Oryctolagus cuniculus: one gene and its partners. The protein of the gene in region 3 interacts with the protein of the main gene of each other region in a biochemical or structural test. Links are inferred from orthologs where the notes say so. Each region holds a gene or a part of one and is shown on either strand. Other genes may lie near its edges.

The links.
Region 1: the proteins of ARF6 (region 3) and RAB11FIP3 form a complex in vitro, tested with the Homo sapiens proteins (2 studies listed by BioGRID). The link is inferred for Oryctolagus cuniculus from reciprocal best matches to the Homo sapiens genes ARF6 and RAB11FIP3.
Region 2: the proteins of ARF6 (region 3) and HTR2A form a complex in vitro, tested with the Homo sapiens proteins (2 studies listed by BioGRID). The link is inferred for Oryctolagus cuniculus from reciprocal best matches to the Homo sapiens genes ARF6 and HTR2A.
Region 4: the proteins of ARF6 (region 3) and CYTH2 form a complex in vitro, tested with the Homo sapiens proteins (3 studies listed by BioGRID and IntAct, with this or other methods). The link is inferred for Oryctolagus cuniculus from reciprocal best matches to the Homo sapiens genes ARF6 and CYTH2.
Region 5: the proteins of ARF6 (region 3) and ARFIP2 form a complex in vitro, tested with the Homo sapiens proteins (2 studies listed by BioGRID). The link is inferred for Oryctolagus cuniculus from reciprocal best matches to the Homo sapiens genes ARF6 and ARFIP2.
Region 6: the proteins of ARF6 (region 3) and CYTH1 form a complex in vitro, tested with the Homo sapiens proteins (2 studies listed by BioGRID and IntAct, with this or other methods). The link is inferred for Oryctolagus cuniculus from reciprocal best matches to the Homo sapiens genes ARF6 and CYTH1.

What each region holds. Positions count from the first base shown.
Region 1 is NC_091450.1:34,226,834-34,231,046, reverse strand, and holds the start of RAB11FIP3 (rab11 family-interacting protein 3), read left to right. Parts: upstream 1-1,413; 5' UTR 1,414-1,807; coding exon 1,808-2,470; intron 2,471-4,213. UniProt on the Homo sapiens protein: Downstream effector molecule for Rab11 GTPase which is involved in endocytic trafficking, cytokinesis and intracellular ciliogenesis by participating in membrane delivery. Recruited by Rab11 to endosomes where it links Rab11 to dynein motor complex.
Region 2 is NC_091440.1:65,865,664-65,869,604, forward strand, and holds the start of HTR2A (5-hydroxytryptamine receptor 2A), read right to left. Parts: upstream 2,801-3,941; 5' UTR 1,225-2,800; intron 1,089-1,224; 5' UTR 505-1,088; coding exon 96-504; intron 1-95. UniProt on the Homo sapiens protein: G-protein coupled receptor for 5-hydroxytryptamine (serotonin).
Region 3 is NC_091443.1:26,198,546-26,202,615, forward strand, and holds the start of ARF6 (ADP-ribosylation factor 6), read right to left. Parts: upstream 2,801-4,070; 5' UTR 2,521-2,800; coding exon 1,993-2,520; 3' UTR 1-1,992. UniProt on the Homo sapiens protein: GTP-binding protein involved in protein trafficking that regulates endocytic recycling and cytoskeleton remodeling. GTP-bound form plays an important role in the transport of multiple palmitoylated proteins form the Golgi to the plasma membrane.
Region 4 is NC_091449.1:8,592,821-8,596,997, forward strand, and holds the start of CYTH2 (cytohesin-2), read right to left. Parts: upstream 2,801-4,177; 5' UTR 2,785-2,800; coding exon 2,322-2,784; intron 2,068-2,321; coding exon 1,920-2,067; intron 1,819-1,919; coding exon 1,752-1,818; intron 973-1,751; coding exon 854-972; intron 280-853; coding exon 199-279; intron 1-198. UniProt on the Homo sapiens protein: Acts as a guanine-nucleotide exchange factor (GEF). Promotes guanine-nucleotide exchange on ARF1, ARF3 and ARF6. Activates ARF factors through replacement of GDP with GTP.
Region 5 is NC_091432.1:60,403,279-60,407,341, reverse strand, and holds the start of ARFIP2 (arfaptin-2), read right to left. Parts: upstream 2,801-4,063; 5' UTR 2,606-2,800; intron 1,822-2,605; 5' UTR 1,780-1,821; coding exon 1,681-1,779; intron 1,452-1,680; coding exon 1,355-1,451; intron 632-1,354; coding exon 513-631; intron 340-512; coding exon 118-339; intron 1-117. Other genes in the region: TIMM10B (mitochondrial import inner membrane translocase subunit Tim10 B), read left to right, coding at 2,918-2,944, 3,127-3,222, 3,413-3,589. UniProt on the Homo sapiens protein: Plays a role in constitutive metalloproteinase (MMP) secretion from the trans Golgi network. May have important functions during vesicle biogenesis at certain cargo subdomains, which could be predominantly utilized by secreted MMPs, such as MMP7 and MMP2.
Region 6 is NC_091448.1:2,886,020-2,890,239, forward strand, and holds the start of CYTH1 (cytohesin-1), read left to right. Parts: upstream 1-1,420; 5' UTR 1,421-1,531; coding exon of another isoform or gene 1,532-1,550; coding exon 1,551-1,553; intron 1,554-4,220. UniProt on the Homo sapiens protein: Promotes guanine-nucleotide exchange on ARF1, ARF5 and ARF6. Promotes the activation of ARF factors through replacement of GDP with GTP.

The DNA of each region.
Region 1 (4,213 bases), on a different chromosome or scaffold from region 3:
TAAAACGGTAAGATTTCTATTCAATGTCTAAGGACATCCACAGTTCACTGAGAGATCATCTTCAGATTCTTGTAACATCCAACACTTCAGGGGCAGGAGAGCCATGGAAAAGGAAGAAAGGGCCGCCACTGGCCGAGCACACTGGGCTCCAGGCGTCAACAGCAGCAGCCGCTGAGTGCGACCCAGACACCACGGCCAATGCGCACGAGCAGGGAGAGTCCAATGCAGTCTGCTACAACCTCCGTGGTTTGAGCAAATCCAGCTGGCCTGTCCTGGACCCCCTGCCCCCTTTGAGGTCTCCCGCCTCACTGTTTCCCCCCCTGTTGGCTGTGCCACCAGCCTGGCCTCAGCTCCCCCCCCCCCCAGGCCAAAGGTCCCCAAGGAAGGGAACAAGGTGACCCACGGGCTGGCTGAGCTCCAACCCGCTGGGCGCAAACACCTTCCGGTCACTTCCACGGACATCGGCAGCTGGGATCTGCCCTCCCTTCCTCCAGGGTCGGGGCGGTCCGGAGGGCAGCAGGTCTGTCGCTGGGCAGCCCTGGGTCTGAACGGCTGGCCCGCGGGGGAAGGCCTGCTGCCCTGGCCTGGTGCTAGCGCTGGCACAGCGGCAGGAAAGAGCCTCCGGGTGGGCACTGGGCCGTGGGGCCCGCGTGGCAGCGCCGGCTCCGGCAAGCGCGTCCAGGTTGAATGCGGCGCTGGCCCAGCCGAGGCCTGGCTGCTGCAGGCAACTGGGGAGCACCCAGATCCCCAGCCTTCCGGGCTCTGAGCGGGGACGCCGGTCTCTCCGCTTCCATCTCCACGCAGCAAGGCGGCTCTGCACACTGTGTGCGGCCCGGGGCGGGGGGTTCTGGCCGAGCCCGGAGCAGCGGCGACCCCTCCTCTTTCTCCCCAGGGCGCGCTCTGGTTCTCCAGGGGCCCGCTCTCCCCGCCACACACTGCCCCGGGGCGTCTGCGGACAGGGACGCCGGACACGCCGCGCCCCCACGGCTCCAGCCGAAGGCCGCAGCTCCGCACCCGTCACGCCGGCCCGCGGTGCGTGAGGACTCAGCCTCCGTGCAACCCGCGCGCGGCGTTTGACGCTCACCCCCCGCTGGCGCAGCTCCCTCCACGTCGCCACCGCGCGTGGGTGTGCGGCGCGCACAGGTTCGAGGCCCGTCCTCGCGCGCCCCGCGCTGGTGACTTCACGCCGGCACCCGCAGCCGCCCAACACGCAAGCTGCCGGCGCCCGAGGCCCAGAAAAGCTGGGCCGGAGTCGCCGAAAAGGCCGAAACAACCACCGACGGCGAAACCCCGCGAACACCGCCGCGGCCCCGGCCGCCGCCCCCTGGCGCCCCTATTTATAGAAAGCCGGGGGGCGGGGCCGGCCGGCGCCCGGCGTGCTGACGTCAGGCCGACGGAGGGCGGGGCCGGGCGGCGGCCGCGGCGTTCGCTCCTCGGGTACCCCGGGCGCCGCATCCTCCTCAGCCGGCGCCGCCTCGGGTCCTCGCCTCGCGCGCCCCGCGCCCGGCGCCAGCTGCCGGGCTCTCGGCGTCCTCCGCGGGTGGTGCCGCGCCCGCCGCCATGGGCCCGCGCCCTCCGCGCCGCCGGGCCGAGGGCCGCTGAGGCGCGGGGCGAAGATGGGCGAGGGCGGAGCAGGGCCCGAGTGCCAGCCGGAGCAGCCCGGGCGCCCCGCGCGCGCCCGCCCGCGCCGCCGCGGGGATGCCCGCGCCCGCCGCCGCGCCCTGAGCGCCTTTGTCTGCCGCCCGCGCCGCCCGCCGTACCACTAGCCTCGCGGGCCCGCGCCGGGGCCGGGGGCGCGCCCCGCAACATGGAGCCGGGCCGGCCGGCCTCCCCTCCGGGCCCCGACTCGGAGCCGGGCGCGTCCGCCGGGCCGGCCCCGGGTCCCTCGGAGTGCGATGAGCCGGCCCCGGGGCTGGAGGACCCTCAGGACACCGGGCCGCCCAGCCGCGGTGCGCGGGGGCAGGATGCGGACGCCGGGGCCCGCCAGGCCGCCTGCCCGGAGCCCGACCCGCGTTCCGAGGTGGCATCCCCGGAGCCCGACCCGCGTTCCGAGGTGGCATCCCCGGAGCCCGACCCGCGTTCCGAGGTGGCATCCCCGGAGCCCGACCCGCGTTCCGAGGTGGCATCCCCGGACCCCGACCCGCCTTTCTCCTGGACCAAAGGCCCGGAGGACTGTGGTCTCCCGCCGTGCCCGGAGAGCCCGTCTTTCTGCGTGCAGGCTCCGGCTCTCAGCTTCGGTGTGCGGGATGCGGCCGACCTGTTCCCCGCCTTCCCTTCGCCTGCCGTGGACGAGCTGGCGCCGGAGGAGGGTCGGGCATCCCCGGAGCAGCCCCTTCCTGGCGAGCCCGCGGGGTGTCCGGAGGACGGCCCCCGCCTGCGAGCGGTGTTCGACGCCCTGGACGGGGATGGGGACGGCTTCGTTCGCATCGAGGACTTCGTCCAGTTCGCTACGGCCTACGGGGCCGAGCAGGTGAGCGGCACGGGTAGGCCCGGGGGTTCTGCGTTCTCTGATCCACCGCTCCGCCCTGGGCTCCTGGTGGGGTTTCCCGGGAGGCCCCCGCCTCCCTGTCCTGCCCAGGGCCGCGTCCCAAGGCCAGCTCCCGGCGTAGCGTCCTGCCCCAGGCCGCCCGAGGCGTGGCCGGAGCCCCCTTGCCCCTTGAGACCCTCCTGGGGGACGCCCCTTGTGAGCGCAGTTGCTTGGCTGTGTGTGGTTGGGTTAGGTTCTGCGGAGATTCCTTCTTTGTCTGTGGCCGGGGAACGCTGTGGCAGCTCCTTGGGGGTGAAGTGTTGGGTTCTGTGCCTCCTGCGGGCAGGAGGTGAGAATGAGCCTGGAGCTGACGGAGGCGCCGTCTGGCACGGGTGGGACGCGCAGGCGGACGGATGGAGTGCACGGGGCAGTGCCCGGGCCCGCGCCGACCCCGGAAGGTCACTTGCTGAAGTTAGGTGAAGATGCCCCCGTGCTGTGTGTGCGCGGACAGCCAGGGAAATCATGATTATCCATGTGCGTACTTTGCTTACCGGTGGGGAACCTCTAGCGTCCGTCTGCTACCTTTTGTGTTCCTTGACTTCTCAGGAATAGACTTTCGTGGAGTGAGTGTTCACGCACATACGCGCGCGTTTATGCCTAGAGGGTTTTCAAAGCAGGTAGAGTGGAGCCTGCTGTGCCCATCAGTTGGTATGCAGACCTGGGGCCCTTGCTGGGTTCACAGCATGGACGATGTCCGGGCACCTGCTGAGCACCCCTCCGTGTTGGGTCAGTGGAGTGCCTCGTGCTTGGGCGGCGCTGTCAGGGTGGGCCTGCCTCCTCTGATGGGCAGAGGCGGCGACAGGAGTCCTCCGGAGCTGGCCTGATTGGGACTGCTGCTTCAGGTCCTTTTTTTTTTTTTTTTTCCCAAGATTTATTTATTTGAAAGGTAGATAAATACACACACGGGGTGGGGGAGATGGGGGAGATATCCCATTGGCTGGTTCACTCCCTAAATGGCGGCAAAGGCTGGGGCTGGGCCAGGCTGAAGCAGGGAGCCTGGAACTCCATCTGGGTTTCCCACGTGGGCGGCAGGGGCCCTAGGACTCACGCCATCTCGCTGCCTTCTCAGGAATGCTGGGAGGAAGCTGGATAGGAGAGTAGTCAGGCCTCAGACTGGCGCTTTCGTGCAGGATGCTGGTGCTGCTGTGGCCCCTTGACCTCTGGGCCACCACACCGGCCCCTTGACCTCTGGGCCACAGCAGCCCCTTGACCTCTGGGCCACCACACCGGCCCCTTGACCTCTGGGCCACCACAGCAGCCCCTTGACCTCTGGGCCACCACACCGGCCCCTAGACCTCTGGGCCACACCAGCCCTTGACCTCTGGGCCACACCGGCCCCTTGACCTCTGGGCGACCACACTGGCCCCTTGACCTCTGGGCCATGACACTGGCCGCTTGACCTCTGGGCCACCACACCGGCCCCTTGACCTCTGGGCCACCACAGCAGCCCCTTGACCTCTGGGCCACCACACCGGCCCCTAGACCTCTGGGCCACACCAGCCCTTGACCTCTGGGCCACACCGGCCCCTTGACCTCTGGGCCACACCAGCCCTTGACCTCTGGGCCACACCGGCTCCTTGACCTCTGGGCCACCACACCGGCTCCTTGACCTCTGGGCCACACCAGCCCTTGACCTCTGGGCCACCACACCGGCCCCTTGACCTCTGGGCCACCACACCGGCCCCT
Region 2 (3,941 bases), on a different chromosome or scaffold from region 3:
CAGAGCCTTCTGCCCAGCTTGTCCCCCGTGTCTTGAGGCATGCACATGCTGCACATGACCAGCGTGGGTCCGGCTGGGAAAGTGGTGCCACTCACCGTAGAGGATGGTTAACATGGACACGGGCATGACTAGGAACCCCAGCAGCATATCGGCTATGGCAAGTGACATCAGGAAATAGTTGGTGGCGTTCTGCAGCTTTTTCTCTAGGGACACAGCCATGATGACGAGGATGTTCCCAGCAATGGTTAGGACGATCACTACAGCTGTCAATAAAGCAGACCAGTTTTTTTCCTGGAGACGGAGGAAGGGGAAACATGGTGGTGAGAGGCACCCTTCACAGGAAATGTTGGTGCGGTTTTCGGAGTCTACTGTCCAGTTAAATGCATCGGAAGTGTTGGCTTCTCCGGAGGAAACGTCTTTACTGTAGAGCCTTGTGTCATCGCTTAATTGCATTAAAGAGTTCATGGAGCTCAAAGAAGTGTTTTCTTCACACAGCATATCCATTTCTGAGCCGCAGCGTGCAGCAGCTGAAGTGTAGAGAGATCGCTAAGTTACAGCCTGTGCTTGCCATTCATCTTCGTCCCTGCACTCTGTCACACTGACGCTGTGGGGCACGCTGGGATCCTCTGGCTGCCTGCCCCTCTCCCATTATTACGGTAATGGAGAGCCGAGGTGGCGCTTCCTGTGTCCCCTGTTCCAGCAGACTCCAACGTTGGCTTTGATCTTTTGAAAACGCGAAGTAAGGACAAAAAAGCAGGATGAACTTTAAGCAGAAGATAGAGTTCAGCCAGGTGGTAGAGTTTTCAGCTTTGGGGGAGAGACCCTGGCTGAGAAAGTTTTGTAGCTACTAGGAATTGGGTTTAATCCTGTCTCACGCTGTCAGTTACTCGGATCACACTAGATTGTCATCTCAATATTGAGACGGCATGCAGTCCAAAACAGCAGGGATGCAGACAGTGTATGGAGAAAGTCAATTATAAAAACAAGCAGTGGTAATCCCATAGTAATTGGATATATTTCGCGTTCTCAGTCTTGGGCTGAATTGCCACAGCTGCCGTCAGGAATTTCAGCTTGCACTGTGCTGCTTCCTTAATAAAAGGAAAGAGGAAACCTCTCTGAAGATCAGTGGATAACTTTCCACGCTAGAAATTATCATCAAATTGATGGCACTGTGGCTAAGCATGATTTCAAACCAGAAAATTAGACAGCAGTATGGGAACTTACATTATCTTCAGATCCACACAGTAGGCACGCTGGGTTATTAGATTCCTTGCTGCCTCTCGCATAGTAATGAAGCCGGGTTGAGCTTTCTCCAGTAGCAGATGAGAGTAATTTGATTTCTGTTTTTTGCTGACTTCCAAAACTGCATGCGAGACCGGAGCCAGTTCCAGCACTGTGAGGTCCGTGTTGGCTTCCTCTGCCACCGCTCAGTCAGATCCTCCCTCCCTGTGCGGCTCGCTCAGCTGGCGCACGGCACGAAATCGCTCCAGAGCCCCCCTCAAAGTCGCATGGGAAAGTAGGCACAGACGTCAGCATCAAGGGGGCTCCTGGTTTCCAGGGGAATGAAATGGCCCTCTGGCTGCCTCCTTCCCTTGATTAGACCTCCCTCTGTGTGTCACAAACTGCAAGGTAGCAACAGCCAGTGAGGGCAGACCAAACGGGCTTTTTTTTTTCCCCTTTCCCCTCACCCTCTCCTTGCTACATGCTATCACTGGGAAGCTTTTTGCTTTAAAAATGAAACTGGAAACAAGGACTCGTATGTAGATTTGTGATGAGGCAGATAAGCTATGCTGTGATGTGTTGGGTTGAAGGGTGCAAAGTGTTGAGCAGAACAGAAATCGGGCTTTGGGATGGTGTGTTCTGAAAGCGTTAGAAGCCTACAGAGCTCCCATCCAAAGCCAACAGGGCTGGTGGCCAAAATGGAATTACTGACACGGGCAGCGTGGGCTTGGAGTGGCTAAGCAGGTCTGTGACAATAACCCTGATGAACGAGGAAGTTTTACTTTGACCATTAAACATGCCCTTCAGCTGGCTGGCTGGCTTTGGGAGAAATATGCCATCTAGATCCTCACACAGGGTAGCAAGTAAGCTTGGTAGAAGAAATGCTGGTGACTGTGCTTCCCTCGTAGTAGTGTGCTGCCTGGGAGTTGTCTCGGGAAGGCAGACAGATCTTAACCTTACACGTGCAGAAAGGGGCTCTTTGCTGAATCCTTGGGGTTTTCTACACTCCTGTCACCTTAACATTCACCCTGGGCACACCTAACTACTCATGCCTGCCACGTGTTGGTGGCTGAATCTGTTCTTTCATAAGAAGATGAAGTTCCAGATCTACCCATCCCGCTGCCCTCTGGACCTTTCCCTCTAGCTGGGAAGACCTTGACCTCCTGAGCATCCATGGCCATTCTCCACTCTGTCGGGGTGCTTGTGCCAGTCACTGTCCTGGTTAGTGGAAGCATCATCTCTACACACGGCTGCTGGTTAGTCACTGCCTCTTTCCTGCTGCCAGATCTCCAGCAGCCTCCAGTGATACCTCGAGCTGTGTATTTCTCACGACTCTCCTGCTACAGCCCATGGCTGCCGTACTTTCGGTGAGGGCTGTGGCAGCCACTTGCTGGGCTGGTGTACTCGTTTTCCCCCTCGCTGCCCTGTTCCCATCCTGCTCCTCTGCATCACATGAGTGCCCTGGGGAACAGTTGGCCAACAGCACAGTCTAGAGTGGCAGGTCCTTGGTACTGAATGTGGTTCTGTAGCTGTAAATAGAACCCCAAGCAATCTGGTTTCTTGCTTCAAAGCTTAGCCTTCTCCATTGTAAAATGGGATAATGGTGGTACCTTCCTCACGAGACTGTTATGAAGCTCAAATGAGAGTCAATTACTTAGTGTTCTCCTTACAAGATGCTCTCAATACTAAGCGTTTACTATTCAGTGTTTCAAAGGCAGAGACAGATTTTTACATCCACTGGTTCCACTTCCCAAATAACCACAACAGCCAAGTCTGGGTCATGCCAAAGCTAGGAGCCAGGAACTCGATCTGAGGCTCCCATGTTAGTGGCAGGGACTTAAGTACTTAATGTACACCATGGTAGGCAGCAGATCCTAGCTTCACAGGAAACTGGATTAGAATAGCCCGAACTCTGGTCTTGATAGCCATTTTTATTAACTCTTATTAAATGCAAATAGAATAATGTCAATTACTAAACTGTTGTAGGGCACATGGTTCCTTTCTTATCCACCTGTCCTGTTTGCCTAACTGCCCAGGCCTGTACTCTTGCCTCTATGCCTATTGATAGATTGAACCCGGATGTTTCTGACTACGTCTTTTTTTTTTGGCAGTTAGAAAGGTCTTCCTTCCGTTGCTTCTCTCCCCTAAATGGCCGCTACGGCTGGTGCACTGTGCCAATCCAAAGCCAGGAGACAGGTGCTTCCTCCTGGTCTCCCATGCAGGTGCAGGGCCCAAGCACTTGGGCCATCCTCCACTGCCTTTCTGGGCCACAGCAGAGAGCTAGACTAGAAGAGGAGCAACTGGGACTAGAACCTGGAGTTCTGGTGCCGTAGGTGGAGGATTAGCCAAGTGAGCCATGGCGCTGGCCTCTGACTGCTTCTACATGTTTGAAATGAAGTTTATCGGTTTGGAATGCTCTCGCTCTCCAACTGCTGTCTCCACCTGGGTCACTCCTGCTCACTCTTGAAACTCAGTTCCAAAGTGATCTCTTGGAGTACCAGAGCTGCTACTCACTATTTCTGACCTTTAAGTTATTTAATCTCTGGATTTTAGTTTCTTCACCTAAAATATGGACTACTAACACCTCGAGGACTGACTTGAAAGCTAAATAATTTCCATGTGTGTATTGCACATTTTAAGCACTCAGTAAAGTTCAATTGTTGCTTTTCTTATTAACAATGTACTAAGCTTTCTGTGGCCTTCTCCAGCAGAGATGAAGA
Region 3 (4,070 bases):
AGCAACCATAATGTTCTTAGGATGTGTTTGATCAGCTTCATTTTTAGAGATACTTTCACTAAAGTGAAACTGACTACTTTATACTTTAGTTGCATCTTGAACTCAAAAATCCCTTTGTACCAGCCGGAGCCTACAACATAGCACCTTTTCTCATCTGCTTGAAGAAAAATGCTTTGTCAAGAGTTTTACTTTGAATGGTTGATTTTTTTTTTTAAAATAGCCTTATGATTCTCAGATATCTTTGGTAAAAGCTCCATTATACAATATGGCCAAAGCATGAAGGACCAATACTGTCCAACTATACCATGATATCCCGCTCAGTTTTGTTTTCAGACACCCTCATAAACGAAACCCACTCCACTTTTTCCTGTATACTGCCTTTGCAGTCTACATTTCTGAAATTCCCTAAGTTTAATTCCTTGAGGATCACTAAAATTAATCCTTAAGGCTATATAAGAACCAGATGGTGCTTCACAACTCTGTATCAAGCATTAACATTTGGTTCAAAATACTACCATAGTGGTCTCAATCTAGCTACTGGTCCTAACTTGCTACCCAAGTAATTCTGTTAGGATCTGGATATCACCAGTGAGCACACTGCTTACCCTTGAAGAAAAATAAGTTTACATTCATTGTCATCTGTAGGTTCTCTCTTCAGCCCACTTCCCCTTTGTCATCCCTTAAGTCTACACATCCAACATTCATTCATCACATTGCCTTTCTTAAAGGAGACAGTGTACTATTGAACCAACAGGTTGTCTTACTATTTGCACGAGTTAATCCCACAATCAAACAAAATTAAATATCTTTTTTATAAAACATCTTTTCCAGTGTTCTAATTAAAGGAGATGTGGATCACTCATCTATAAAAAATGATATATCTTCAGCTTAGTCAGTTGCAGTAATGTGAAAACAGGAATGTGTATTTTTCCATCTAGGTAAAAGGTGCATATAACTTGAATCATTAAATGCTTTATTAATGAACAAACTAATGTTTCAGTAACTTTAATACTACTGCTCTTAAGACACTTGAAACAATGTATAAGTATTCCAGTTTTGCCCAAAAGTCGCTTAAAATATCTACAGATATCTGTGTGTGGCACACACCATTATTGCTCCATTTTCTGGAAGGAGTCTATTTTTGATGTTAAAAAAAGGAAAAGTTGCTAACTTTGCAGTGAAAAAAAACCTCATGTCCTTGGCGGGTTATACTTTCATATTTTTTGCAGTGTTAAGTTTGCTATGTTATGACGACCCTGGGTTTTATTCCTACTCATGCATGATGTATGTCTTAGGAGTTAATAGCTGACATTTCAAATAAGTTCTTACATTACCTGTTTAACATACTGATGTGCAACTGGAACATATTACAATGATATTACTCATTATTTGCCACTGTGGGCTAAGTTTACTTATACTGGTCTTAGGTCACATTTGAAATTACTAAGTTAGAATTCATAAGGGGGGGAGCCTTAAATATAAAAGACAAACGGCAGTTTGATTAAGCAATAATTTTCAGTTTACTAGATGAAACAGACTTGCAACATAGTCTGCATGAATGCAAAATAAGCCATCTACAGCAAGTGATAAGGAAACTGGATAAAAAAAAAAGGAAAAAAGCATACATTTGGGGGGGAAAAAGATTCTCTAGAAATAAAAAAATCAAACCATTATTATAAAGGACTTTACCAAGAACTGCTGTATTTCCCCCACCCCATTTGCTGGAAGTCAACAAGAGCACCTAGCACTTTGTGTTCATGTCAAACGTCAAATCAGAGCATCCTAACGCAAAGCGGAATAAAGAAAAGAAAAAAAAAAAAAGCAAAAAAAAAAGAAAAACCCCAACCCCCCCTCCCTAAACCGTAGAACTGTAACTCCAGAGTTCAAATTCAAAAGAAGAGAAAGTGGCGATTGAAAGAGGTGATGGTGGCGATAATCCTATGAATGGGTTTTTGATTTCTCTCCTTCCGGGGGCTGGGTGGAGAATGCTCATTAGGACTTGTAGTTAGAGGTTAACCATGTGAGCCCCTCATAGAGTCCGTCCCCTGAGGTGGCACAGGAGGGCTGCACATACCAGTTCCTGTCCCGAATCCGGGTCAGGCCCAGTTTCTCCTGGATCTCATGGGGTTTCATGGCATCGGGCAGGTCCTGCTTGTTGGCGAAGATGAGGATTATGGCGTCCCTCATCTCCCGGTCATTGATAATGCGGTGCAGCTCCTGGCGGGCCTCGTCGATGCGGTCGCGGTCGGCGCAGTCCACCACGAAGATCAGACCCTGGGTCCCGGTGTAGTAGTGCCGCCAGAGCGGCCGGATCTTGTCCTGGCCTCCCACATCCCACACGTTGAACTTGACGTTTTTGTAAGTCACCGTCTCCACGTTGAAGCCCACGGTGGGGATGGTGGTCACCGACTGGCCCAGCTTCAACTTGTACAGGATTGTGGTCTTGCCGGCCGCGTCCAGGCCCAACATGAGGATCCGCATTTCCTTGTTCCCGAAGATTTTGGATAGCACCTTCCCCATCGCGACGGAAGAGCCGGGGCCGGGGGCATTCAGGTGTCCCGGTTCCCCCTCAAGCCAACAACGCCGCCGCCGCCGCCGCGAAACCGAAACGAAGCCTCCCTGCCGCGAGGGCGCCCGTGCGGCCTGCGTGGGAGTCGCCTCCTACGGGGCGAGAGGCCCGGGCCTGCCGCTCACTCGGGCATCACCGACCCGCACAACTTGGTTCCTCCAGCCGCCGCCGCCGCCGGGGCCCTGAGTCTGCGCCCGGAGAGCCGCCGCCCTGCTGAGGCGCGGCCCGGCCCGGAACTGCCCTTCCCCCCCGCAGGCGCCGCGCGAGCGCCGCCGCCGTGCCCGTTCCTCCGCCCGCCCGACGGCCCGCCGACTACCGGGCTCGCCACCGACCCAGGCCACCCGTCAGGCAGCGCGGCGCCGGCGTCCCGTCAGGTCATGGATCCTCGCGGGAACTCAGCGCGCTGCCTGCGGAGACACAGAGAAGGAGAAGGGAGTTACCGCCGGAGCTCCGAACGGGAGCGGGCGCGGAGGCCGAGGCCGCCCGCCTTAACAGCTCGGCCCCCGGGTGTCGGTGCCGGGTGGTGGTGGTGGGGGTTACCTCCAGCCGCCGCCCCGAGCACGGGCTCGCTCCGGCCGCCGCCACCTCCTCCCAGCTCTGCCGCTGCCGCTGCCGGAAAAGGCGCCCAAGAAACCGCCTCACTTCCCCTCCCGACCACGCAGGCGCAGCGCAGGCCGACCGTTCGGACAAGAGCGACCTCTGGAAGGAGAGCGGCCCGCGCGCCCAGCGTCACGGGCGCCACGCGCCGGAGGGGGCGGGGCTACGGCGTCCCGGAGGGCTCGCGGGTGCCGCCCGCCCGAGCCCGCGCGCCTCGGGCTCTGGCCCGCGCCCACCTGTCGCTCTCGCCGCGTCTGCGCGCTCGGCGGCCCCTTCGTTCCGCGCCTCTGCCCGCCCCCGCAGTCCGGGGAGCAAATACTCCGGGGAGGTGGGGAAATGGAGCCTCCGCAAGGGCGGGGCCGCCGGACGAGCCGCCCCCACGGAGCCGCTTGCAGGCCCGGAAAGTTCGGCGGACTTCGCGCGCCCCGGGTCTCCCGGGGACGCCTTGGCCGCTTTTTAGCTTTTTCTCCGACCCCCTCCTTGGTATCGTTGCCTCTGGTGTTCAGGGTTTTCCTGGAAGACGCATGGGAGGCCGGCGCGCTCGTGTTGAACCCGCCAGTCAGTGGCGCGCCGTGGCTGGGCTCGGGTTTGCTCGGAAGCCCCTCTCTCGAACACTGGAGCCCTGTCCGTGTTGCATCAGGACCAGCTCACGTTTCTTGTAAAAGCTGGCGGTGAAGAGCTTTCTGGAACGCGATGAACTGTTCTTAGTCCAGTGTCACTTCCTTTTAGTATGGGAGCGGCAGCTGCTCACCCACCCACCCACCCGTGCTGCAGTCACCTTAGCGTAGGGTGTAGAACCTGAGAGGCCACTTAACCTCGTTCGCTGATCTCCTGTGTAAACTGACCTCGCTTACTCCGCCCCGCTTGGAGGATGAAATAATACCATGTTGGTGGAAGACCAAGG
Region 4 (4,177 bases), on a different chromosome or scaffold from region 3:
GCCACGTAGGAAGGTCAAGAAGCTCAATGCCAACACGACGAGCGAAGAGGGCGCCTGGATACGGCCGTGCCTGGAGGAGGCTCACTCATGGACTTTGGCATTACAAGAAGCAATCAACTCCCTAGTTTTGTGTGGGGTGGGGCTCACCACTCCGGACTAAGGAAAGTGACTTTCTGCCCCCCCGACCCCTCCCCTCACCTGAGGGCCTGCACCAGATTGAGGTCGGTGAACTCATGCAGATCCACAAAAGCATGGAGCACGGCCAGGTTCAGCTCCTCCCTGCGAGCACAGGACAGTCACACACACAGGAACGCACAGGGGGCACTGGGGCAGCTGGCCCTCGGCAGGGAACGCGGCTTCCCGCCTGGCCCCACGGCAGGGCTGCTCAAGTTTAGCTGCACCGTTGCTGGGAGACTCGCACCCACCACCCACGCCACCTCCTGCCCCCTCAGACGACCCCACACTCCCCAGATGTGGACACGGTGCCCTGGCCCCTAGACGTGCACCCCAGTGGCCATGAAGGCCTGCCAATGCCCCCCGCCAGCCACATGCTCCCCAGCCATCACCCAGCTGCACATCGCCTAGATGTCCACGGGGTCCGTGCTCCCTAGGGGCCTGCCACGCGTCCCCACACTCCCTGGCTGGCCAGACAGCTCCCACGCACACCTGCAGCCCATGCCTGGTTCTCCCACTCCCGTGATGCTCCTGGATGCTCTCTATAAGGGGACCCCCGTCTTGGGCGCTGGCAGGCCGCCCACACCCAGACACACACACTCCGCAGCAGTCCGGTCCGAGGGCCAGTGTGCAGGGGCCCTGCCCAGGGAGCGAGGCCGGCAGGCATGAAGGGGCTCACCTCTCCCCCAGGTAGTCCCCGATGGCTGTCTTGTTCAGCCCCTCACCCTTGTACAGGAAGCGGGCGATCTCCTCGGGGGTATTCTGCAGAAGTTCATTCTCCACCAAGAACTGGATCCCCTGGCGGGCGAGAGCGGGCTCTCAGTGCCCGGGGCCAGGCCGTCACAGGTGCCTGGACCTCAGCCTCCCTGTCCCTGCCTGGCTAGGTCCACGCTGAACACCTGCTTGCTGAGTGACGGTGTCAGTGGGCAGCAGTGGTGGACACCGAGCCCCAGGCGGCCTGGAGGCTCCTCGGCGCCCTCTTGGCCGTGCAGCCCCTACGCTGCAGCTACAGCTCGTTCTGGGCGGTGGGTCTGTGTCCAGGGCCTCTCCTCCCTGGGTCCCCAGCTCCGCCCGGCACAGGGTCGGGCCCTCGGGAGGCACTGGAAAACGGGTGTTAAATGAACGACTGGGTGAGCAATGCTGGGCCAGCGTGCGCGTCCCGGCTGCTCCACTTCCAAGCCACCCGCCTGCTAACGTGCCGGGAAGGCAGCAGATCATGGCCACGTCCTTGGGCCCCTGCACCTGTGCGTGAGACCCGGAAGAAGCTCCTGGCTTTGACCTGGCCCAGCCCTGGCTGTTGGGACCTCCCTCCCTCTCTTTCCCCCTTTTAAAAAAGTCTTTCCTCCAACTGGTGAACGCCTCTCCATCCTCCAAACCTAACCTGGTCTCCTCCTCGGGGCAGCCCCCCAGGCTCCCCGTTTGGCTGTCCACAGCCTGGTGTCTGGCGCCTCCCCAGAGGTTGGACTGCTCAGGGCTCACAGCGCAAGCGGACAGCCAGTAGCTGAGTCCAGGGACTGGGGACAAACCTGCTACAACCCCCCGCCCCCCGGCAGCACCCAGCCCTTGGCCCCCGGTACCTTCTTGGGGTCCATGTTGAACTTCTTCCTGCCCATTGCCATCTTCCGGTTCCGCTGCAAGGTCTTACTGCAGGGGACACGAAGCAGGGCGGGGGCGGCGGCCCAGGGTCAGGCCTGGCGTCCTGGGCCGGCCTGGCTCGGGCCGCCCGCCCCGGGCCCGGCCCTCACCTGCCCTCGTTGGCCTCCAGCCCCTCCACCTCGCTCATGGCCTCGCTGAGCTCCTCCCGCAGGCGCTGGATCTCCACGAGCAGCTCCTGCTTCCGCCGTCGGATGTTCTCCAGCTCCATCCGCTCCTCCGGCGTCAGGTCTGGGGGTTCTGCGGGGCCGGGGTCGGGGTGCCGAGGGTCAGCCCTGGGGCCGGGAGCCTGCATGCTTGCAACGTGGGGCGAGACGGGGCTGGGGCAGGACGCAGGTGAGGCGCCTGCCTCGGATGAAGGGGGCACTAGCAGCCTGGACCGCTCAGGCCAGGGCTGAGGCCGGGAGTCCCGGGGGGGGCGGGGGGGCTTAGGGCCCGGCCCCCAGAGTCTGAGGGGGAACCCGCGTGGGAGCCTCGGCCTCCGGGTCCATTACTTGGAAAGCGGCCGTGGTGTTCTGATTCCATTACTGGCGCGGCGGCCGGGGGGCCCGGGGGAAGATGGGCCTGGGTCTTCGGAAGCCCTGGGTCCAAGGGAAGTGACCACGGCAGGAGAAGCCGACGGCAGCCCGCGGAGTCGGGACGGCGCGGCCGGGCCTCGGCGGACCCGGCAGCCCCCACGGCCTCCCCTCCCCGCCCGCCGCTGGGCTCGCCCGGCCCCTCCGGCGGGAATGGTTCCGCCCCGGCCTCGCCTCCGCCGCGCCATCCCGCCCCCTCCCGCCGACGCCGGAAACGGGCTCGGCCCAGACAATGGCCCGGAACGCCCCGCGCTCGCGGACCCCGCCGGAAGCCCGCCCGGCGCCCCGGCCAGCGCGGCGGCGACGGCGGCGCCGAGGACCCCGGGCGGCGGGCGCCGGGCGCGAACGCCGGCGGCGGGGCGTTCGCCAGGGAACGCTCCATCCGCTCCACGGCCCCGCCCCTCCGGCCTACCGTAGACGCCGTCCTCCATGGCGGCGAGGAAGGCCCGCGGGGAGTCCGGGGCGGTCCCGCCAGTCGGGCCTGGATCCGCGCTGGCCCGCGGGCTCGGGTGAGCCCGCTCAAACGCCCCGGGAGCCACCGCCGCCTCCTCAGCGCCAGTCCTCAGCGCTGAAAAGACTCTCCCTTCGTCGCCCAACCGCCCGGCCGGTAGGGACCGCCCCTCGTCTTGACACCGCCCAATCCGCGGCGACCCCTCCGGGCTGCACCGCCCCCCGACGCCAAAGGACAGTCCGCCCAGGCCAATAGGCACACAAGAAACAGGTGTTAGGCATGTCCGGCCGGAGGTAGACAGCCAGGGGGCCCAATCGGGGTGCGGGCAGGGCGCCAGGCCCCGCCCCCGAAACAAAAGAATGCCCTTGGCAAGCCTGTCCACCAATGAGAAGCCTCGCAAAGGCGTTGTGAGGAGGTGGGGCTGTGCGCGAGCGGAGAACACTGAGCCTGCGCAAGGACTCGGGGCGCGCGGAGTCTGGGTCAGTCGAGCCCCGCCTCTCAGCACGTTGCCAGGGGGCGTTACTTTGTTAGTCCTGTTGCTAGGGGGCGGGGCCTAGGCCGTGAGCCACACCTCCCGGCCGGCCACGCTGGCTTTGGACCGCCGCGGTTGCCGCGCAACCATGAGCGGCTTCGCCGGCCTTTTGCCTCGCGTCTCCCTTGCTACGTGCAGACCCTTCCCTTAACGCCCCACATGACCACTCCAGCCGCTTCAGGGTCAGGACGTAGTGAAATGGAGTTCTGTCAAATGCTACACTCCCGGGTACCGGTCACGCAGAATGGGACGTTAGGGACAGCACCGGCTCCGCCCTCTTTCCTAAGCCCCTCCCCTTAGCGTAGCATCCTCCCTCCGAGTCTCTACCTCTTTCTCTTTTCTCTGCCGCCTCTCTGCTTTCTCTCCCCCGACTCCGGCTCTGCTCTGTTCAGGCATCCCCCACCCCGACCCTCTCAGACTCCCCCCGCGCCCCAGGCCCTCCCGTTCCACAGCCCCGGCCGGGGGTGGCAGGTGCGCAGGTCCCGCCTGGACAGAACCGCCGAGCCCCTGTGAGTGGTCAGACCACGGGGACTGAAGTCTCTGGGCCTCACCTCATTTGCCGTCCCTGGGCTGGGCGGGCGGGGACGGATTCGGGGCCAGGACCTGGTTAAGCCGTTGGATTAGACATGGAGCCTTTTAATCCCCTCACTGACCTTTATGAGCGGCCCGGGTCCTGTCCTACCCGGCCAGAGAACGGCGTGTGTCGGCTTTGCCCCCATTCTGTCCTTCCAAACCGAATCCCTCCTCGTCACTGCACCCCAACTTAACATCCTCCCCCACCCCTTGAGACTC
Region 5 (4,063 bases), on a different chromosome or scaffold from region 3:
CCCTGAAGGGGTTCTCCCTGTGGGCTGCAGGAGGGAGGGAGGGAGGGAGGCTGAGGAGTGACTGTCTGGAAGGGCCAGGGCCCAGTCCCCCAACCCTCTTTGGTCTGGCTGAGGCACCTGAAGCTCTGGGGACTTCTGGCTGAGGTCAGCAAAGGCGTCACCTAGTGCATGCTGGGTCTGCAGCAGGCTGTAGAGGTGGGCTGTCAGTGCCCGGCCCAGCTGCAGGACACTCTCATACTTGCGCTTCGTCTCACGCAGCAACTCAATCTGCAGCTCTAGCTCCAGGTCCACAGTCCGGGAGCCTCGGCCAAATCGCTCTGATAATAGTTGCTTTGTACACTGATTGGGAAGTGAGGGAATAGGTCAGAAACCCTAGCACCCTGCCTCCCTCCCAATAGGTACGTACTCCAGCACCCCCAGGCTCCTAGTCTCAGCCATAGATGGCATATTAGGATTTGGGGGAAAAAGTACCCAGGGGGAGTTTTGGGGAAGGGAGAGGGGCTAAATCCCACCTTATATGTGTTGATGCCCCATTTCTTGACAATGTCAAACTTCTCTCCAGCGATGCCCCGAGCCACTTCATCCCCAGGGCCAGGAGGAGTGGTGCTGTGAGATGGATGGCGGCCAGACCCTAAAGGACCAAGTTCTCTGACACCAGCTGCTCTCAGATACAATCAGACATCTCTAAGGCCTCACTCATACTTTCCTTCCAGCACATGAAAATGACTTCCCTAAGGAAGCTTGAGACAACTGAATTCTCCTGCTCACTAGAAGGGACATGTATGTACCTCATGCCCTGAGAATCCAATCCCAATATACATTTGGCTACCTTTGTGTGTGTGTGTGTGTGTGTGTGCTGGGGTAGAGGGAGGTTGGGAGGAGTGTTGCTGGTATGCAGGGCAGGGACAACAAGAAAATACATTGTGTTGGGGGTGGGGTGTCAAAGATGGTGAGTCCTTGGAAATCTGGTAGGCATCTCCATGTGGAATCCCAGTCAGTGACATCCGGGACTGTTTGTTCCTCTAAACTTTAGAGTCTAAAGTAAAACTGAGAAGCCTCACAGAGTTCCAAATTAGGCTTAAGCTTTAGAGCAGGAGAACTTTTGTGAACCAGAAGTCTTAACTTGGTTCAGATGGTTGTAGCAGGGAAAGGACAAAAATGCCACGTCAGGGGCTAACTGGTAAGTGGGAAGCCGACAGCAAACCCTGGGAGCTGGCTTTGGGCTGAGAGGACTCTATGGGGTTTGTATGAGCAGAAGTTCCCAAGCTTTCCGAGATACACTTGTATACCATGCTCCTCCAAACCACTCCTACCCCCCTCCCCACTCAGGCTTCCTGTCTCTGATCATTCATACCTGTGGGGATGAGTCCATCACCAGAGCCCCCATAGCCCCCAGACACAATGCTGGTTTCATTGAGGTTGGGTCCTGACACCATCACCTGCTGGAGGTCCTATAGGCCAGAGAAGAGGGGGGCAGCTGAGGCATTGTGGGAGTGGGAACAAGCTTGGATTGAAGCACCACAGACAGTACACTAGAGAAGTCTGCACAGAATCAGAATGAAGATTTGTAAAAAGGATGAAGTGAGGTAGATAAGCTAAGGAAGGTTGCTGGAATAGGGGTGAGAGCCCAGGTTTTATAAACTGGATTCCCGAATTGAAACAAGAATGAAAGAGAAGCACCTGCTCCAGCCCATCATCTTCAGGAAGCTGCCCAGCTTCGCCGTTCCCATGGATAGGGATCTCCATTGTGGCTGCCTTCCCTAGGATCCCGTCCGTCATGGCTAGGGAAGGGGCTGGAGCCAAAGTCTCCACCCCAGCACCCTGCAAAGCCCAACAGACAGTTTTGGAAAGTGGCCAGCAGTCTGGAAGAGAGAGTCCGCTCCTGCCATTTCTCATGTTTTAGAGGTAGTCCCAGGCTGAGTGTCCTGGAGTTCAGCCACCACTCCTTTCCTCAGGCATATGTATTTCTCCCCCACCGAAGCGCACATTTCTACACACCTACACCCAAGCCTCAGGTGTCTTCTCACAGCCTCCCCACCTCCCAACCTCAGGACCTGGTGCTTGTTCATGCATTCACTCATTCACCAGACATTTAGTGAGTGCCTACTATGTGACAGCCACTATCTGAGGCAATGGAAACACAGCACTGAACAAGAGAGATAAAGTCTCCGGTCTCTTGGAACTTAGCCCCATGCAGGTGCGCTTACTCCCAGCAGGAGCCAAGCCCCCTTCCAGCACTCCAGTGCTTTCTCCCCACTCAGGTATGCTCTCTATTGCTCCGCCTTTCATACTCCTAAAATGTTCTTTCCCTCTTCCTTCAGGGTGGTCTCCCCCCTCCATCTCATACACCTCCTCTTCCAGGGGCCCTCCGCACCAGGCCTCGCTTGAAACAGCTGGTCGCTGGTAAAAGCCTCTCTTCCCCAGAGCAAAGGTGATCCCTTCCAAAGTCAGTTGTGTCTCTCAGGTGTGTGAGTCCCTGTTCCCCTCCCCCCGACACACCTGGGCATCAGGTGTGTCCTCATCCTTGCCTATCTTTCAGGGGCATCTTGCCCTCAGGACAGGTCCGTGCATTCAACTTCCCCTCGCCCAGGCACGTCCCTCTCACCTCGGGCCGGGCAGCTCTTCCCCTCAGGGCGCCAGGCCCGAGCGGCGCGGGGACCTCCGGTTCCAGTTCCCGTCGCGATCCTAGCAGCAGGTCAGGGACTCGGCGGAAGTGACGGCCTCTCCGGGCAGAAGAAGCTGGCCACGTCGCAGATTCTAAGGGCGGAGGTGACGTAGCAGCCAGGGGCAGGGCTATCCTGGGGCCAACCCTTTAGTCCTTGGTGGGGGGGAGGGCGGGGGAGCGACGAGAGATTACTTCCGGGGCGGTACCCAGACCTTGAAACGGAAGTGACGTAGGGCGTGAGCGCCTGGCGGGATGGAGCAACAGCAACAACTGAGAAACGTGAGTGCTGCTAAGTCGCCCTAGAGCCGTGCCGTGAGCTCGCTTTGCAGGAACTGCAGAGAGCCAGGGATGCCAAGGCTGGGAACAAACGGCTATGAAACGTGGTCCTGGGAGGCCTGTGGCTGCGGGGCCTTGAGGTATGGGGCCCATATCGCTGAGTTCTTGGTCCCCTTTTCTTCCAGTTGCGGGACTTCCTGTTGGTCTACAATCGGATGACAGAACTCTGCTTTCAGCGCTGTGTGCCCAGCCTGCACCACCGAGCCCTGGACGCTGAGGAGGTGGGCAACTATGTAGGGACGTTACCCTCGATCCTCAGTTACGGGTCGTCTGCCTCCTCCACCCCCTTCCCCTTCCTCTCCGGCCTGGCCTTCCCACCACCCTCACCCCTAGGCTGCGGTTGGGGAAGGACGAAGCCGGGCCTAACGGGACCACTTTGGCCTCTACTTAACCCCTCTGTTTTCCTTTCAGGAGGCCTGTCTACACAGCTGTGCTGGGAAGCTGATCCACTCCAACCACCGCCTCATGGCCGCTTACGTGCAGCTCATGCCTGCCCTGGTACAGCGCCGCATCGCAGACTATGAGGCTGCCTCAGCTGTGCCGGGTGTTGCCGCTGAACAGCCTGCAGGCTCACCGTCCAGCAGCTAGCCACCCCCAGTCCCAAAAGGGAAGGCCTTGGATGGGCCCTCAGATTGAAGGACCCTGTGGACTTTGACTAGGTGAAGCCTGCACGAGGGGTTGCCTGAAAGTTGGGTACCGTTGCTCCATTTCCTGGAGCCAATAAACCCACCTTTTACTCTGTTTGGTTTATATTATGGGCAGGGAACCTTTGCTCACTGTAGGCACCATCCTTTGTTCTGTCGTTTAGTGCATATCTGCTGGCCTCAGCCCTGACCACTGAGGAAGTGTTTTCTATATGTAGAAGGAAAATGTCTGGTGTTCAGGCAGCTGGTTAAGTCAGGCTCTGTAGGGACAAGATCAAGGTCGGTAGTAACAATAGAATTGTTTCCTTCCCGGATGGCAGAAAATGGGAGCCCTGTCTGGCCATGCTTAAGTCTGCCTTAAAAGATGCACCTGTGAGTCAAATGTGGATTGGTATGTGACTGTTTTTGTGGACTGTGT
Region 6 (4,220 bases), on a different chromosome or scaffold from region 3:
AAGAGACGACGCATCCAGAGCGACACGTCCTTTAGATTTTTAGCAGGAACGGAACACAGTCCCGTGTTTAACAACCACCAGACAGCACAGAAAGACAATGAAGAATCGGATGGGAAACCAGGTTCTGACTCCCCCTCCTCCCGCAGTACCCCCGTCAACAGTTTTTCTGTGTTTCCTTCCAGAAAAAACATGTTCACGCACACACATGGCAGCTCGTATGACCCTGAGGCACGTCACGTTTGTGGCTTTTGAAGTGGACACTTGCAGGGCGCTCCACGGGGGCCCAAACCCCTGAGGCTCCGAGCCATCTGGCAGACAGGCCGACACCGCCGGGGCAGGACCGCGGCTGCCCGAGACGCGGCAGGGGCTCGGGGCGTGTTCTGTAGCTTCTACTTCTGTTTTCGGCGGGTCTAATACAAAGAGCACCCCGGGTCCAGGGATCCCCGGGGAGTGCTCGGCCGTGTGGTGGGCAGGCAGGGGGGCCGTGAGTCATTGCAGCCGGGACAGGGCTGGTCCTGGTGACGGCAGCACAGCCGTGGGATTTTCCCCTTGGTCACACAGAAAGAGAAGAGGCCCCCAAGTTTCCCCGTGTGTCATCGGTTCCTTCCTGCAGGGCCTCACGGGGGTAGGCCGGGTGAGCAGGTGGAAGGGGCCCGGGACCTGCCGCCCAGCCCCTCCGTGTGTCCGGGCATCGGTTTCCCGCCTGGGACCTGGGACCTCACGGGGGCGGGTATGTCTCAGGGCCTCTCCCAGTCACTGGCTGGCTCACGACTGGGGAACTGCGGACGCCTGCCCAGCAGGTGCTGTGAGCTCCGCGTGCTGCGCTCCGGCCACTCCACTGGACGCCAGGGGACAGCCAGGGGGCTGCGGGGAGTCGCTGAAGCCCGGACCCGCCGGCAGCAGGCTGCCCCCTTTGTAACTCGACCCACACACACCGGGAAGCGTGAGCGACAGACTCCGCAGAGTCACACACGAAAGGCGCAGACGGACTCTGTCGCTCCGCGGCCTTTCGCCACGCAAGCTGGGGCCTGCCCTGACCTTCCAGGTGCACGTCAGCAAGGACCACGCTGCCCTTCAGTGGCCGGACGTGACCTTGGGCCTCTGTGGGCAGCTTTTACCGGCGCGCCACACCCGCAGGCCTGCGTCGCCCTTGCGAAACCCGAAACCTGCCCGGGGCTCGGGAAGCGGGCGGGGGCGGGGCCTGGGGCCTGGGGCGGGGCCGGCGGCTGGGCGAGGCGGGGCTTCGGCTGCTGCCACGGGCGCAGGCGCGAGCCGGGAGGCGGCGCGTGCTGGGGGCGTGCACACGCCGGGTGCGGGCGTGGCCTGGGGAGCGCGCGTGCGCAGGCGTGGGCCGGGAGGCGGCGCGTGCCGGGCCGGGGCGGGTGTGTGTCTGTGTGTGTGTGTGCGCGCGCGTGCGTGTGCGCGCGGCGCGGGGGGCGGGGCTCCGAGCCGGGCTGAGGCGAGCGGGCTGCGGGACGCGAGCTGCGGGACGGTGGCGGCGAGCCGGGTGGCCGAGCCCGGGGCCGGCACCATGGAGGAGGACGACAACTATGGTCAGTGCAGCCCGCGGCCCGGCCGCCCTGCGCCCCCTGCTTCGCGTCCTGGCGGCGCCCGGGCCCGGCGCCCCTGGCGGCCCGTGTTTGGTGTGGACGGCGGTGCGGGACGCGGAGCTCTGGGCGCCGGGTGTCGCGCGGGACCCTCCGCAGGCCGGGGGCGTCGGGTCTGGGGAGCCGGGGGTCGCCGCAGTCCGACGACTCAGGCTGGGCGTCGCCGGGACTGTGAGGGCTGAGGGCCGTCGGGCCGGGGTCTCCGGCGCGCGGAGGGTCTCGGGCGGGGGTCTGCGGGGCTCCGAGGGCTGAGGGCCGTCGGGCCGGGGTCTCCGGCGCGCGGAGGGTCTCGGGCGGGGGTCTCCGGGGCGCCGAGGCGGGGGTCGCCGGCCGGGAGCCCACGCCCGAGTCCTGGCCGGCCCGCCCTCCGCTGGCTTCCGGCCGTCCTCGGTGGTCGCCGGCCGTGCGCTGCGGTCCGGTTCTTTGTTCGGAAGTGGCCGGAGCGGACGCCGGAGTGCGGGGCCGGGGCCTGGCCGGGTCCACGGGCGGAGACCGGGCTGGCAGCCTCGTCCTCGCCGAGCCCCGGAAGCCGCTGGCCGCGGCCGGAGAGCAGCCCAGCGTGGCAGGGGTCGCGGAAGGTGACCCGGTTAGTTCATTAACGTTTTGTTCAGAGGAATTAAAGTGAGGGGACGAGCTGAACTTGACCGAGCGCCGGCTGGGCCGAGCTGGGCCGAGCGGCCGACCCCGCTGACCGCCGCTGTGGCCGGCGGCGAGTTAGAAGCCCGAGAGGGAAGCGCGGCGGCGGCCTCGCCGGCGGAGAGGTGGGCTTCGGACGGGCGCTGGCGCCGCAGGCTCGCGTGGGCAGCAGGTGGGCGCTGTCCCCGGGTGTCCCCTTGTCCCCTCGAGGCCGGAGCAGCGCGCGTGCCTGTTGTGATTGGAGGAGCCCGGCCCGGGTTATCTCCGGCGTCCCCGGCGAAGTCCCTCGGGTCCCGGCGTGCGCGCGCGGCCCCCTGCCCCTGGCCGGCTAGGGTCCGGTGCTCCTGGGGCGTGCACCCGGGCGGGATTTGAACTTGAACTTGGGAGGGGTGGATGGGAGCAGGTGCATCCATTCCCTCAGTCACCAACTCATGGCTCCAGACAGCACGTGTGTCACGTGACGGCGTGGGGTGGGACGAGGCCTCACCGGGCTCAGGGGGCGCCTGCTGCAGACCCCGGGGGAGAACCACTTCCTGGCCCGGTTCCGCTCTAGGGGCTGCCCGTCCTGTGCCTGCTGGGCCCGAGCCACGCCCGGCTGGGGGCTGCAGGCCGGATTCTGCCTGGAACCCGGCCCCTGCCTGCCGGTTCCGGGAGCAGCCTCCGGTTGTGCGGGTTTGGACGTGGAGGGGGAAGGACGTTCCCTCTGGACAGCACAGGTTTAGACGGGGTGGCGCAGCTTCTCGGCCCCGGGCCGCGCAAGCGCGTGCACGCGCACTCCCTCGGGGTCTGCAGCGTGGCCGCCCCCAGGCCCCGTTTCGGGAGCCGGGGAGACTGGCGGAGCGCGAAGGCGCTGGCAGCCTCGCTGTTCTTCAGCTGAACTCGGTTCTCGAAAGGACGCGGCGCGGCCTGCGCGGACTTTACTGGCGCTGTAGCTGTCACAGCTGCCCTGCCCTGGGTGTTGGTGAGGGTTTGAGTCAGCCCGGGACTCGCGCCCTGCTCAGCGGGTTTCTCTGGGGAAATGCTTTATGACTTCCCAGCTGCCATTTTAGTATTAAAAAAAAAAAAAAAAAACCCAAAACTTCTGGAGCATGACTGATCTGTCATGGCCCGAAGACAGAGCGCGGGGCTCAGCTCCCTGCTCAACCGGAGAGCGAGAAAGAGGCCGCCTGGACCGCGGTCCTCGCTGCAGACGCCTGGCTGGGCCCGGGGAGGGCTGTGCCTTTACTGGGTCGTTTGTTTTTAAATCCGTTTATGGCGCCAGAGGAGCCTTTAACTTACATAAATTTAACTATTTGTGCTCAGGAAAAAGAAAAATGGAATTCCGCGTGCATTCTCTGTATCACATACATGGCCGGGGTATGTTCCCGTGTAGCGTCAGAATTAGGAACACGGAAGCACACACAGTGCACCCGAGGGGCCTGGGGGGTTGCTAGAGAGTTCTCGCCCTGCGGTGCTGCAGGAGCCGGGCTGCGGGCCAGTGACCGCTTTGCCCTCACGCAGGTGCCTGCTCTCCGGGGTGGTCTCCCCACGCCGCGTCCCCGCGCCGCACCACGCCCGCCACGGCACACGCACAGCTGGTCTCTGTTTCAGGAAGTTTGCCCTACGGACGCACGTTGTCACCGCGAATCTGTTGTGACTTTGCCAGTTTTCAGTGAACGTTTTCTCCCGAGAGGAAGCCTGCAGAGCGTTCTCACGCAGCTTCCGAAATCCTTCCTTCCCGTTCGCCTTCGATGCCGTCTTCACGTTGAGCTCCCAGGCGGGTGGAGCGCCCGCGCAGCCTGGTGGAGCCAACGTGAAGAATTTTGGGGCCGGCGCCGCGGCTCACTAGGTGAATCCTCCACCTGCGGCGCCGGCACACCGGGTTCTAGTCCCGGTCGGGGCGCCGGATTCTGTCCTGGTTGCCCCTCTTCCAGTCCAGCTCTCTGCTGTGGCCCGGGAGGGCAGTGGAGGATGGCCCAAGTGCTTGGGCCCTGCACC